Linked DNA regions of Macaca mulatta. The protein of the gene in region 2 purifies or fractionates together with the protein of the main gene of each other region. This does not show direct contact. Links are inferred from orthologs where the notes say so. Each region holds a gene or a part of one and is shown on either strand. Other genes may lie near its edges. The genes, in order: SRPK2, SNRPA and SF3A2.

Region 1 (2,699 bases), on a different chromosome or scaffold from region 2:
TGTAAAAATTTATAATCTGGTTTATTTTCCAACATGAGCAAAAACTGCATTAGACAAATTTCATTCAAGTATACTATCACCCTGATAAAAATCCTTTTACCCTTAGGGAAGAAATAAATTGTGCTCTATGGTTCTTGTAAGGATGTTTCTTACAGAAATCATGGATAGTATCACCAGTCTACAGCCACTATCTATCACAGAATTTACATGGAAACCTACAGCCTCATTAGAAAAACTTAGCATGCACATTTCATAAAGAAATGAATGAATGATCCATTCTGCCTCACTGTGGTATGAGATGTAATGGTAATTCCTAAGAGGGTTATGTGTCTTGTTTCCTAACAGCAAATGCTGTTTTAAGTTTGCAATGATCGAACAAATGCAGTCAGTATGTTTTTGATGAACCATGGATGAAAAGAGATCACTGAAATTCTAAAGAATCAATCTATACTATAGCTTTTCTCCTAAATCCCTTCTGCCCTTAAAAAATAATAAATGATTTCCTTATAATAAGCCTTAATGCATGTTTTACAACTACATCTGCTGCAACAGGAATGCTGGTATTTAGTTTTAGTGACACTACTCTGATAGCAAATGTTCACTGATTCTATCATTTATAGGGCAATGACCAAGGCAATGTCTGGAAAAAAAAAAACCGAAACACTTTAATTTTTAAGACAACTGCAAGCACCTCAAACAATGGATTATTGTTACAACACTTGTTAGCTTTTCACAATCTAGTTATTGCAAAGGCATATGGATAAATGTTAATGGACAAAGTCAAAAACGAGGCACCTTAATGAATGTAAAATTTAAAATAAAAAGACATTCAATCCACTGACGTCTAAAAGAGGCTAAATATACCTCTATATATTACATTCTAAAATTGTATTGCCTACTATGGTTTGTGTCCTGGAGTCTACAATTAATTTTAAGGAAATGCATAAACAAAACTGTGTGCAACCTGCAAAGGGAAAATCATTTTCTCAACTTCATTTTATGGAAAGACAATGAAAAAGCTAGTAAAATTTGTTGTAGCCACACGTAAAGCTACCTATGGAATGAATGTGATCACTGTTACCTTTGAGCTGTGAGGAGTATTCTGCCCACTGCACTGCAAATTGTATATACCACACCTTGTGTTCTAGACAAGCATGATCATGCTTTTCAAAAAATATACGTATTTTTTCATTCCACACAATGAACACGTTTCTCTTTTCCAATTTAATCTATGTAGAGCTTAACTTACAGCGCCCAGAGGAGGCAACATGACATGGTACTGAGCCATCACATTTTTAAAGGGAAATTGCTCTTCTTTAAAAGTACTTTTAAAAATATGCAAAAATACAAATGGGACTGCTAAATTATAATGCATATTTTAGAATGAGAAGCATATATTTTCTTCCTTTAAAGTGCCATATAGAGAATGACATCTTACAACCCAGAGCCACTTTGTTTAAAATCCAATGTGAAAAGACTGTTATGGAATGAAAAGTTTGTACAACTCCTTGGAGCAGTTAAAGTCTGCTACATGCAACATAGGCTACAAAGCACTCAAGACTTGGTAGCTTTTCTGAAATTTGAGTCCCCCTCCCATATTTAATGGAAAGTAACATTTACAGGGTGCATTTACATACACTATAATACAGGAATGATGTCCCTTTGCCAGAAGATAAAATTGTACATTTCCTTGCTATTTCTTGGTTCCAACTTGATAATTTCTTAAGATTGTAAATTATATAGTACTCAGCTAAAATATTTCTTCATAAATAGTTACAAAACCTGCCAAAACACAAAGGGAAAGTATTTTTCATTCAAAAAAAGGACATTTGAATGTCACACAACACAAGAAACAATGCTTAGAGACATGTTATTGTTTCCAGAAGAAAATGGTCAGTAAACTACTTAGCTGAAGACGAAAGACTACCCTTCCCCAGGATCACAGTGCACAAAAAGCAAAATGTCAAACAACAGTACCTCAAAGCAAAATAAAGGTCTGAGGATGAAGCCAGCTCACTTGTAATCCTGTTAAAGAATGAGAGTCACCGTTTAGGTCCAATGTACTGGGAACATTTGCTAGCTCAGAATGCAATATTGGTAGAATTTGCTAAGAATTCAACCAAGGATGCCGAAGGCATTCGCCAGCTGAGGCTCGTTTTTCTGGAACCATTTCTAACATCGGGATCAGGAAATCTGTAAACTGTGCAGCATCTTCATGGGGCCAGCCATACTTTTCCACAAGTACATCAAAGAGGCTCCAGGGCTTCAGCTTGGTGATGTGTCGCAGTTCTCCTATAGGGGGAAAAACAGGCCAATGTCAAGAAAGCTCCAAATCTGCATTCCCCATTGTTGGTCCAGTCAGGCTCTTTTCAATGAAGCGGACAACCACCTGCTCAACACTTACACGGCAACAACAAAGGACACCAGCTTTTCCCCGCTAGGCAGTAATCATTACATGCACATATGACCAAGGCATATTTCAAGTAAGCCTGGTGGATGTAAATAGAGGTTAATTAATAGTTCATTCACATTAGTTCTAAGTTTCTTTAAGTAAGTGGAGTGGGCTCACTTTGCCCAGAGTGTTTTCTTTTCCAAAGGCTGAAGCAAGCCACTCTCATTTCAACCTGGGATCTTTCGTAAAATTTGCAAACTTGAGGCCAACCCAAATCAAACACCATTCATGTCTACGCATTTGTTGT
Region 2 (3,751 bases):
TAATGGTTAGGCACCACACTCTAAAAGCATATGCAAAATTTACATTCCTGGTTTTGTTTTATTTTATCTTTTTTTGAGAGTCTCTATCACCCAGGCTGGAGTACAGTGGTGCAGTCTCAGCTCACTGCAACCTCTGCTTCCCAGGGTTCAAGTGATTCTCCTGCCTCAGCCTCCCAAGTAGCTGGGACTATAGATGTGCGCTGCCACACCCAGCTGATTTTTAGTAGACACGGGGTTTCACCATCTTGGCCAGGCTGGTCTTGAACTCCTGACCTCACACGATCTCCCACCTCAGCCTCCCAAAGTATTTTTACTAGACACGGGGTTTCACCATCTTGGCCAGGCTGGTCTTGAACTCCTGACCTCACACGATCTCCCACCTCAGCCTCCCAAAGTGCTGGGATGACAGGCGTGAGCCAGTGCCCCGGCTGCTGGTTTTGCTTTCTTCAAGAGCAACTTCACTGGTGACCTCAAACTGAATCCCAGTAAGCTCCTTCGGTTCTCCTGACAATTTTCTTGAAGTGATAAGAGCTAACATTTATCCAGCCCTTACTAGCTGCCAGTTAACATAAAAAAGAAATACTGCAAGGTTTAGCTAATTTAATCTCACCCAACATCCATGCAAAAAAGGTATTATGATTTTGCTCAGTTTTTAGATGTAGAAAATGAGATTCAATAAAGGTGATAATTTACTTGAGAACGTGAGACGGTCTTTCCCATTTCAATAACTGAGTTTTTTTTTTTTCCTTTTTTCAGATAGGTTCTTGCTCTGCCCAGGCTGCAGTGCAGTGGTGCAATCATAGCCCACTGCAGCCTCAACCTCTCTAGCTCAAGCGATCCTCCCACCTCAGCCTCCTGAGTAGCTGGGACCACAGACACACCCCACCCACGCCCAGCCTTTTTTTTTTTTTTTTTTTTTGTAGAGACAAGGTCTCGCTTTGTTGCCCAGGCTGATCTTGAACTCCTGTGTTTAAGTGATCCTCCTGCCTCTGCCACCCAAAGTGTTAGGCTTAACCACCACGCCCGGCCAAAAATTGGGTTCTTAAGCAGAATTCTATACCGGTGGCTTCAACCACTTTACTTGCTATGTGACCCTGGGCAAGTCACATCACCCTGTCTCAGTTTCTTTTCCTTTCTTTTTTGAGACGGAGTTTCGCTCTTGTTGCCCAGGCTGTACTGCAATGGTGTGATCTCGGCTCACTGCAACCTCCGTCTCCCGGGTTCAAGCGATTCTCCTGCCTTAGCCTCCAGAGTAGCTGGGATTACAGGCATGTGCCACCATCAGGCCTGGCTAATTTTGTATTTTCAGTAGAGACAGGGTTTCTCCATGTTGGTCAGACTGGTCTCGAACTCCCGACCTCAGGTGATCCGCCCACCTCGGCCTCCTAAAGTGCTGGGATTACAGGGGTGAGCCACCGCGCCCTGCCTCAGTTTGTTAGTTGAGGAATGGGAATAACAACAGCCTTCTTCCTACAAGCTTGTTGTAAGAACTAAATGTAATCAACATTTATATAAAAGCACATAGACTAACCCATGATACAGAGCATTAGCCACCATTACGGTACATTTTCATTGTGAGCTGATCACTGAAAAAGCCGGTGACCCAAGAAAGCCCCAGTCCTTGCCCTCACGGAGCTCAAAGGCCACTGGGAGGAGAGAGAGCCCCACGACAGCTCAGAGGAATCAGGGCGTGATGGGAGATGGCCTCAGCGTATGGGAAGTCAGCGGCAGCCACGTGAAGGGACAAGGGAAGGCTTCCTGGAGGAAGGGTCCTGTGACCTCAAACCTTGTAAGATGAGCAACAGTGACCAGGTTAAAGGGCAGAGTGTAAGATGAACTAATGGAGTGTTGAAGACAGGAAGTAGTTTGTGTAAAGGCCAAGGGGTTAACTCGAAGTTTGGCTGGAGGAACACTTAAGAAAGAGAAGCGGATGCAGGGGGTGGAAGAGGGACCAGCCCGTGCGGGACAGTCTGGAGTCCGGACTATCCCGAGAACTCACCATCCTTCTTGATCTTCTCATTGAGGTTGTTGATATAAATAGTGTGGTTAGGGCGGGTCTCGGGAACTGCCATGGAGTGAAGTGTTGAGGTAAGGCTTAAAGGAGGAAAAACGTGACTTTAGCCCTGGGTTTCGCCAAATCCTTTGTCCCACCGTTGGCTGCTCAAGGATCTTCCTCCCAAAAGGAAGTCAGGTAAGGCGGGAGTAGGGGGAAGGACCGAGGGAAAGCGCGGGCAACAAAGCGTGCGTAGGACCCGCTTCTCCAGCACGCGTGCAGAGGGAACTCTCGAGAGATTTACTACGACTTCCAGGATGCTCTACGCGACCCCGTGGGCGGAGCGCCCTAAATGGCGACTCCCATTGGCCCATGCATCCGAAGGGCCGTCCTGGAGAAAAACCCGGATGTGGGAGCCAGTATAGAAAAAAGGGGACAGGTCTTGGGCAGCCTGGCCTCGAGCAGCAAGTTTCCTCAGACGGGCCCAGGAAGGCCCGGACGCCAAGCGTACCGCTCGCCCGCCGCCGATGGTCGTTTGCACCCCAGGTTACCTTCCGACAGGACCGCAGTTCTCTCAAGCGGCGCCTGCTACTTTCCTGAGACCAAACCACGAAGCTTTCTCTCCTGGCACCGCCCCTGCCTTTCTGCCAGGCAATCTCCGCGCGGAAACGCAGTAGCTTGACCAATCAGAGCAAGTCTCGTTTCTGGGCTCAGCTCTTGCCAATCAAAATGATATTTGAGTTCCCGCCTAGGTAGAAAAACCCCGCCCGACTCCCTGAAAGCCCACCTCCTTCCGTGACTCCCGGGTCTACGGACCAATCAGTAAAGGTCACTAGTATTTTGCCAATCGGGACGCGTCTGGCGCTGTGATGTCTTCCGGAGGCAATCCTTTTTGAAGTCCCGCCTCTTCCCCCCAGCGCTGCGTTTTCTGTCACGTGATCGCCAAATGGGCGGGCACTGTTGCGTGTGATACTCCGTGATATGGGAAAAGCAGTGTGCGGGGGCCGCCATTTTCTGGGAGTGGGAGGTGTACCTTACTTCCTGACTCCCTTCCCTTTTCCACCGGTTATCACGGCGCCCACCGGCCTCTGATCTCTGAGTCTTCTCCAACCCACAGACGTTTTTGTTGCTCTGGTTCCGGGACCTTCTCCACAACTAGGCCGTTTTTCCTGCCAGGTGTCCATTTTGACCTCTTGACCTCTGACTCAAAGGTCAGCCCAAAGGTTCCAAACTCGGGCCTGGGATGTGAGGGGGTAGTGAACCTAAGTTCTCCGAATCTTTAGCCCTGGGCTCCTAAGTCGCACCCTTAAGGCACCTCACTTTAGGTCTGAGCCTTCATATCCCAAACTTACTCATGTGTTTCCACATCTAGCCCCAAAGAATGAGTTAACTCCTACTGACTGTCCACCTAAGACTCCCAAGGTAACCCAACCGGTACCACAGATCCGGTTCCGGATTTAAGGACCCCACCCTGTTAACTGTCAGGTGCCTTATGACTTGAGTCACCCTCAATTCCTGCTCCCATGGTTTCAAATATTAGCTGTGGTCCTTTCACACCCACTGCTCAGCCCCCAGATTCTGGAACTCAGCTCGTAAATTTTTAAAATTTCCATCCCTGAGACTGTTCTCCGTTGGAGGATCCTTCCCTCCCCACCTTCTGAACCTCTCAGCCCCTCCTGTAGACCCCAAAATGACTTCTCCATGCTCTCCTCCCGTAAAGCCACCAATCCCTCCTCCAAGAACCCCTGTACCCCAAGC
Region 3 (3,651 bases), about 49 Mb from region 2:
CTGCCTTTCCCAGAGTCCAGAGGCACCCGTGTCCCTTGCCTTGGGGCCCCTTCCTCCCCGTTCACAGCCACAGCACAGCCTCCGTGACTCAAGGGGAAGAGTGCCAGGAGATGAGAGGAGGCTGCCTGTTGGGGACTCAGCAGAGCCCTCCTGCGCCACAAGCAGATGTGACCGATCTCCCGGATGTTACCCAGTCAGGACACAAAGATCAGTGTCCTCACCTCCCAATAAGTTTACAGCGAACCCAAGAGATAGAATTAGGCTGGGGATAAGTAAGCGCAGCCAACCAGAGAGGGAGTTCAGAGGAAGGCTTGAACACTGGGGGCTTAGGCAGTCCGGGAAGGCTCCCTGGTGGTGGTGACTCGTTTGTGAGAATTTGGCCTTGTCTTCCCTTTATGCCTTCTCTGGGCTCCCCGCTCCATTTCAGGTCTCCAGGCCTTGGCACTCTGGGCTGGAGTGGCTTCCTCTCCATCCCTCACATACGCTCATTTGGAGACAGGCTCCAGCTTCCCTCGTGTCTGTGCCTGTCCACAGTGGGCCTCGGCCTCCTGGAAGAGACTGGGTGCACTTTGGGGTGGCCCCCTCAGGGCTGGTTAGACCCTGGCTCTGGGAGTGCAGGGTGAGGGGCTGTCACAGGCTCCAGCCTGGTGGCCTGGCCCAGGGAGGTCCCAGCAGCAGCCGTGAGTTCTGAGCCATCCTTCTTTCTCTCCTCTTGGCCTCCACAGGTGTCTCCCGGTCTGCTAAAGCCCCAAGGCCGTCACCATGGACTTCCAGCATCGCCCTGGGGGCAAGACCGGGAGCGGGGGCGTGGCCTCCTCCTCCGAGAGCAACCGTGACCGCAGGGAGCGCCTCCGGCAGCTGGCCCTAGAGACCATCGACATCAACAAGGTGGGCCAGCCACCGTGCAGCCGCCTGTGGCGGGGGCTCGGCTTTCCAGGACAGCCCTGGAGAGGGTGCCAGAGGCTCTTCCTGGGCCTCCACCCAGCCTGGGCGGTGCAGCCCCGTGTCCAGATGCTCCCCTGTTGCCCCGAGTAGCTACAGCTCCCATCTGTCCGCCTTAGAGAGCAGACCCTCTGTGGCTCTGAGCCCCGTGTGAGAGTGTTTTGTTCTGTCCAAAACCTTCTGTTTCGCATCATTTAATTTTCTGGGAGTGGGGAGAGCTTATGTCAGTCCAGCCAGATGTGGTGAAGGGCAGCCTTTGATTTTAGCTTGTGCAGGGGCGGGGATGAGCCGGGTCCCCTCAGCACTGTGGACATCGGGACTGGAGCACTCTCTGTGTACCCTGACACGCCCCACGGACCTGGCCTATGACGAGGGCTCTGTCACTGTCCCTGTCTTCCAGATGACGTCACGGGTGGAGGGGTGCCCCAGCCACAGATGGTGGAGTTAGCCTTTGAACTCCAGCGTCTGAGACGAGAGGCGTGCGCCTGGCTGCCCCGGCTTAGGGCCTGGAGATGGACGGGTCTCTGGGCCTTCAGTGTAGCCCATTTGCTTTTCTTGTGCCTGTGTCTGCCTTGTGCCGACCACTGGTGTGGTGGCGTGGGCAGCGGACAGCTCCCTGCATTGGGAGTGACCAGGAGTGCTGTGCTGACTCTGCCTCCCTCTGACTCAGAACCACCAGGAAGGTGGTGCGGGGGGCTCCCTGGGAACCCCCGCTGCTCAGAGCCTGGGCCACAGCCCCAGGCGGTGACACCTGTGCTCACAAAGGCCTCCCGCCGGATCCCCCGTTTTCAGAAACGCTTGACACCGTCAGGGACAGCCATGCCTGTACAGAAAGGGGATCCTGCGTCTGAGGGCCCTGACCGCAGCAGGCCTCGATCTGTCTAACGGGCGCCTGTTCTTCCCCTCCAGGACCCGTACTTCATGAAGAACCACCTGGGCTCCTATGAATGCAAGCTGTGCCTGACGCTTCACAACAATGAGGTGCGGCCTCTGCCCGGCTCCGGGCAGCTCGCGGCGGGCTGAGTGGCTGACGTCAGGGGGACCTGCCTGTGTCTGTCTGCCCGGCCCGAGTCATGTGTGTTTCCTTTCCACTCCAGGGGAGCTACCTGGCACATACCCAGGGGAAGAAGCACCAGACCAACCTGTGAGTACCCCGTGCCCCTTCGATTCCTGGTGCTCCAGCAGCTGTCGGCTCAAGTCTCTGTGAGCCTCACGGGCCACTGCTCCACGGCCGGGAAGCCAGCCTGGTCTGGGCCTCCCTGGGCGCTGGAGTACGGTTTCTGGGGAGCATTAGAGAACAGAGGCGTGGATGGCTGAGGCGGGCAGATCACTTGAGGTCAAGAGTTCGAGACCAGCCTGACCAACATTGTGAAACTCCATCTTGTGCCGGGCGCGGTGGCTCAAGCCTGTAATCCCAGCACTTTGGGAGGCCGAGACGGGCGGATCACGAGGTCAGGAGATCGAGACCATCCTGGCTAACACGGTGAAACCCCGTCTCTACTAAAAAATACAAAAAACTAGCCGGGCGTGGTGGCGGGCGCCTGTAGTCCCAGCTACTCGGGAGGCTGAGGCAGGAGAATGGCGTGAACCCGGGAGGCGGAGCTTGCAGTGAGCCAAGATCACGCCACTGCACTCCAGCCTGGGTGACAGAGCGAGACTCCATCTCAAAAAAAAAAAAAGAAAAAAAGAAACTCCATCTTTACTAAAAATCTAAAAATTAGGCTGGGCATGGTGATGCACACCTGTAATCACAGCTACTATGGAGGCTGAGGCAGGAGAATCTTGAATCTGGGAGGAAGAGGTTGCAATGAACCGAGATGGCGCCACTGCACTCCAGCCTGGGCGACAGAGCGAGACTCAGTCTTATTTAAAAAAAAAAAAAAGAAGAAAGGCCGAGCGCAGTGGCTCACGCCTATAATCCCAGCACTTTGGGAGACCAAGGCGGGCAGATCACCTGAGGTCAGGAGGGCAAGACCAGCCTGACCAACATGGAGAAACCCCATCTCTACTAAAAATACAAAAAATTAGTCGGGCTTGGTGGTGCATGCCTGTAATCTCAGCTACTGGGGAGGCTGAGGCAGGAGAATCGCTTGAACCTGGGAGATGGAGGTTGCGGTGAGCCAAGATCGCGCCACTGCACTCCAGCCTGGGCCACAAGAGCAAAACTCGGTCTCAAAAAAAAAAAAAAAAAGCAGAGGCATGGAGTTGTTGGTAGGACCCCAGCCAGGGACAGTGAGGAGCATGACAGGAAGAGAACGTGCCTGTCCTATCCCTGTTCTCAGCCAAACCCCAGGGCCCCTCCCAGGCCCCTGGCCCTCCTCATCCCTCAGTTTATAGTGAGCTCCAAGGTCAGGGGGCCCGTGGCCTTGGTGCCTGTGTGTGGAGGGGCCCCAGCACCACGTCCATCCTGCCTGCAGGGCCCGGCGAGCCGCCAAGGAGGCCAAGGAGGCCCCTGCCCAGCCTGCACCTGAGAAGGTCAAGGTGGAGGTGAAGAAGTTTGTGAAGATCGGCCGCCCAGGCTACAAAGGTGAGTGCCCGGAGCGGCGCTGGCCACAGCCGCTGCTGCTGCATGAATAGGTTCTTTGGGCTCCAGTGCAGGAGGCGCAGCCCTGAGACCCTCATTCCTGAGCCGCTGTTTTCTGGCCTTGGTGGCCATCCCTCACCCACCTGCAGCCTCTGGCGTTGTGTCTGGGAGCTGTCAGGCTGAGC

Evidence for each region.
Region 1: the proteins of SNRPA (region 2) and SRPK2 purify together in Homo sapiens (affinity purification with mass spectrometry; 4 studies listed by BioGRID and IntAct, with this or other methods). This does not show direct contact. The link is inferred for Macaca mulatta from reciprocal best matches to the Homo sapiens genes SNRPA and SRPK2.
Region 3: the proteins of SNRPA (region 2) and SF3A2 fractionate together in Homo sapiens (co-fractionation; 3 studies listed by BioGRID and IntAct, with this or other methods). This does not show direct contact. The link is inferred for Macaca mulatta from reciprocal best matches to the Homo sapiens genes SNRPA and SF3A2.

What each region holds. Positions count from the first base shown.
Region 1 is NC_133408.1:144,699,703-144,702,401, forward strand, and holds the end of SRPK2 (SRSF protein kinase 2), read right to left. Parts: intron 2,293-2,699; coding exon 2,108-2,292; 3' UTR 642-2,107; downstream 1-641. UniProt on the Homo sapiens protein: Serine/arginine-rich protein-specific kinase which specifically phosphorylates its substrates at serine residues located in regions rich in arginine/serine dipeptides, known as RS domains and is involved in the phosphorylation of SR splicing factors and the regulation of splicing.
Region 2 is NC_133424.1:51,869,886-51,873,636, reverse strand, and holds the start of SNRPA (U1 small nuclear ribonucleoprotein A), read right to left. Parts: upstream 2,276-3,751; 5' UTR 2,073-2,275; coding exon 2,000-2,072; exon of another isoform or gene 1,406-1,999; intron 1-1,405. Other genes in the region: ACTMAP (actin maturation protease), read left to right, coding at 3,684-3,751. UniProt on the Homo sapiens protein: Component of the spliceosomal U1 snRNP, which is essential for recognition of the pre-mRNA 5' splice-site and the subsequent assembly of the spliceosome. U1 snRNP is the first snRNP to interact with pre-mRNA.
Region 3 is NC_133424.1:2,990,390-2,994,040, forward strand, and holds part of SF3A2 (splicing factor 3A subunit 2), read left to right. Parts: intron 1-725; 5' UTR 726-762; coding exon 763-888; intron 889-1,851; coding exon 1,852-1,923; intron 1,924-2,039; coding exon 2,040-2,086; coding exon of another isoform or gene 2,087-2,115; intron 2,116-3,336; coding exon of another isoform or gene 3,337-3,359; coding exon 3,360-3,469; intron 3,470-3,651. UniProt on the Homo sapiens protein: Component of the 17S U2 SnRNP complex of the spliceosome, a large ribonucleoprotein complex that removes introns from transcribed pre-mRNAs.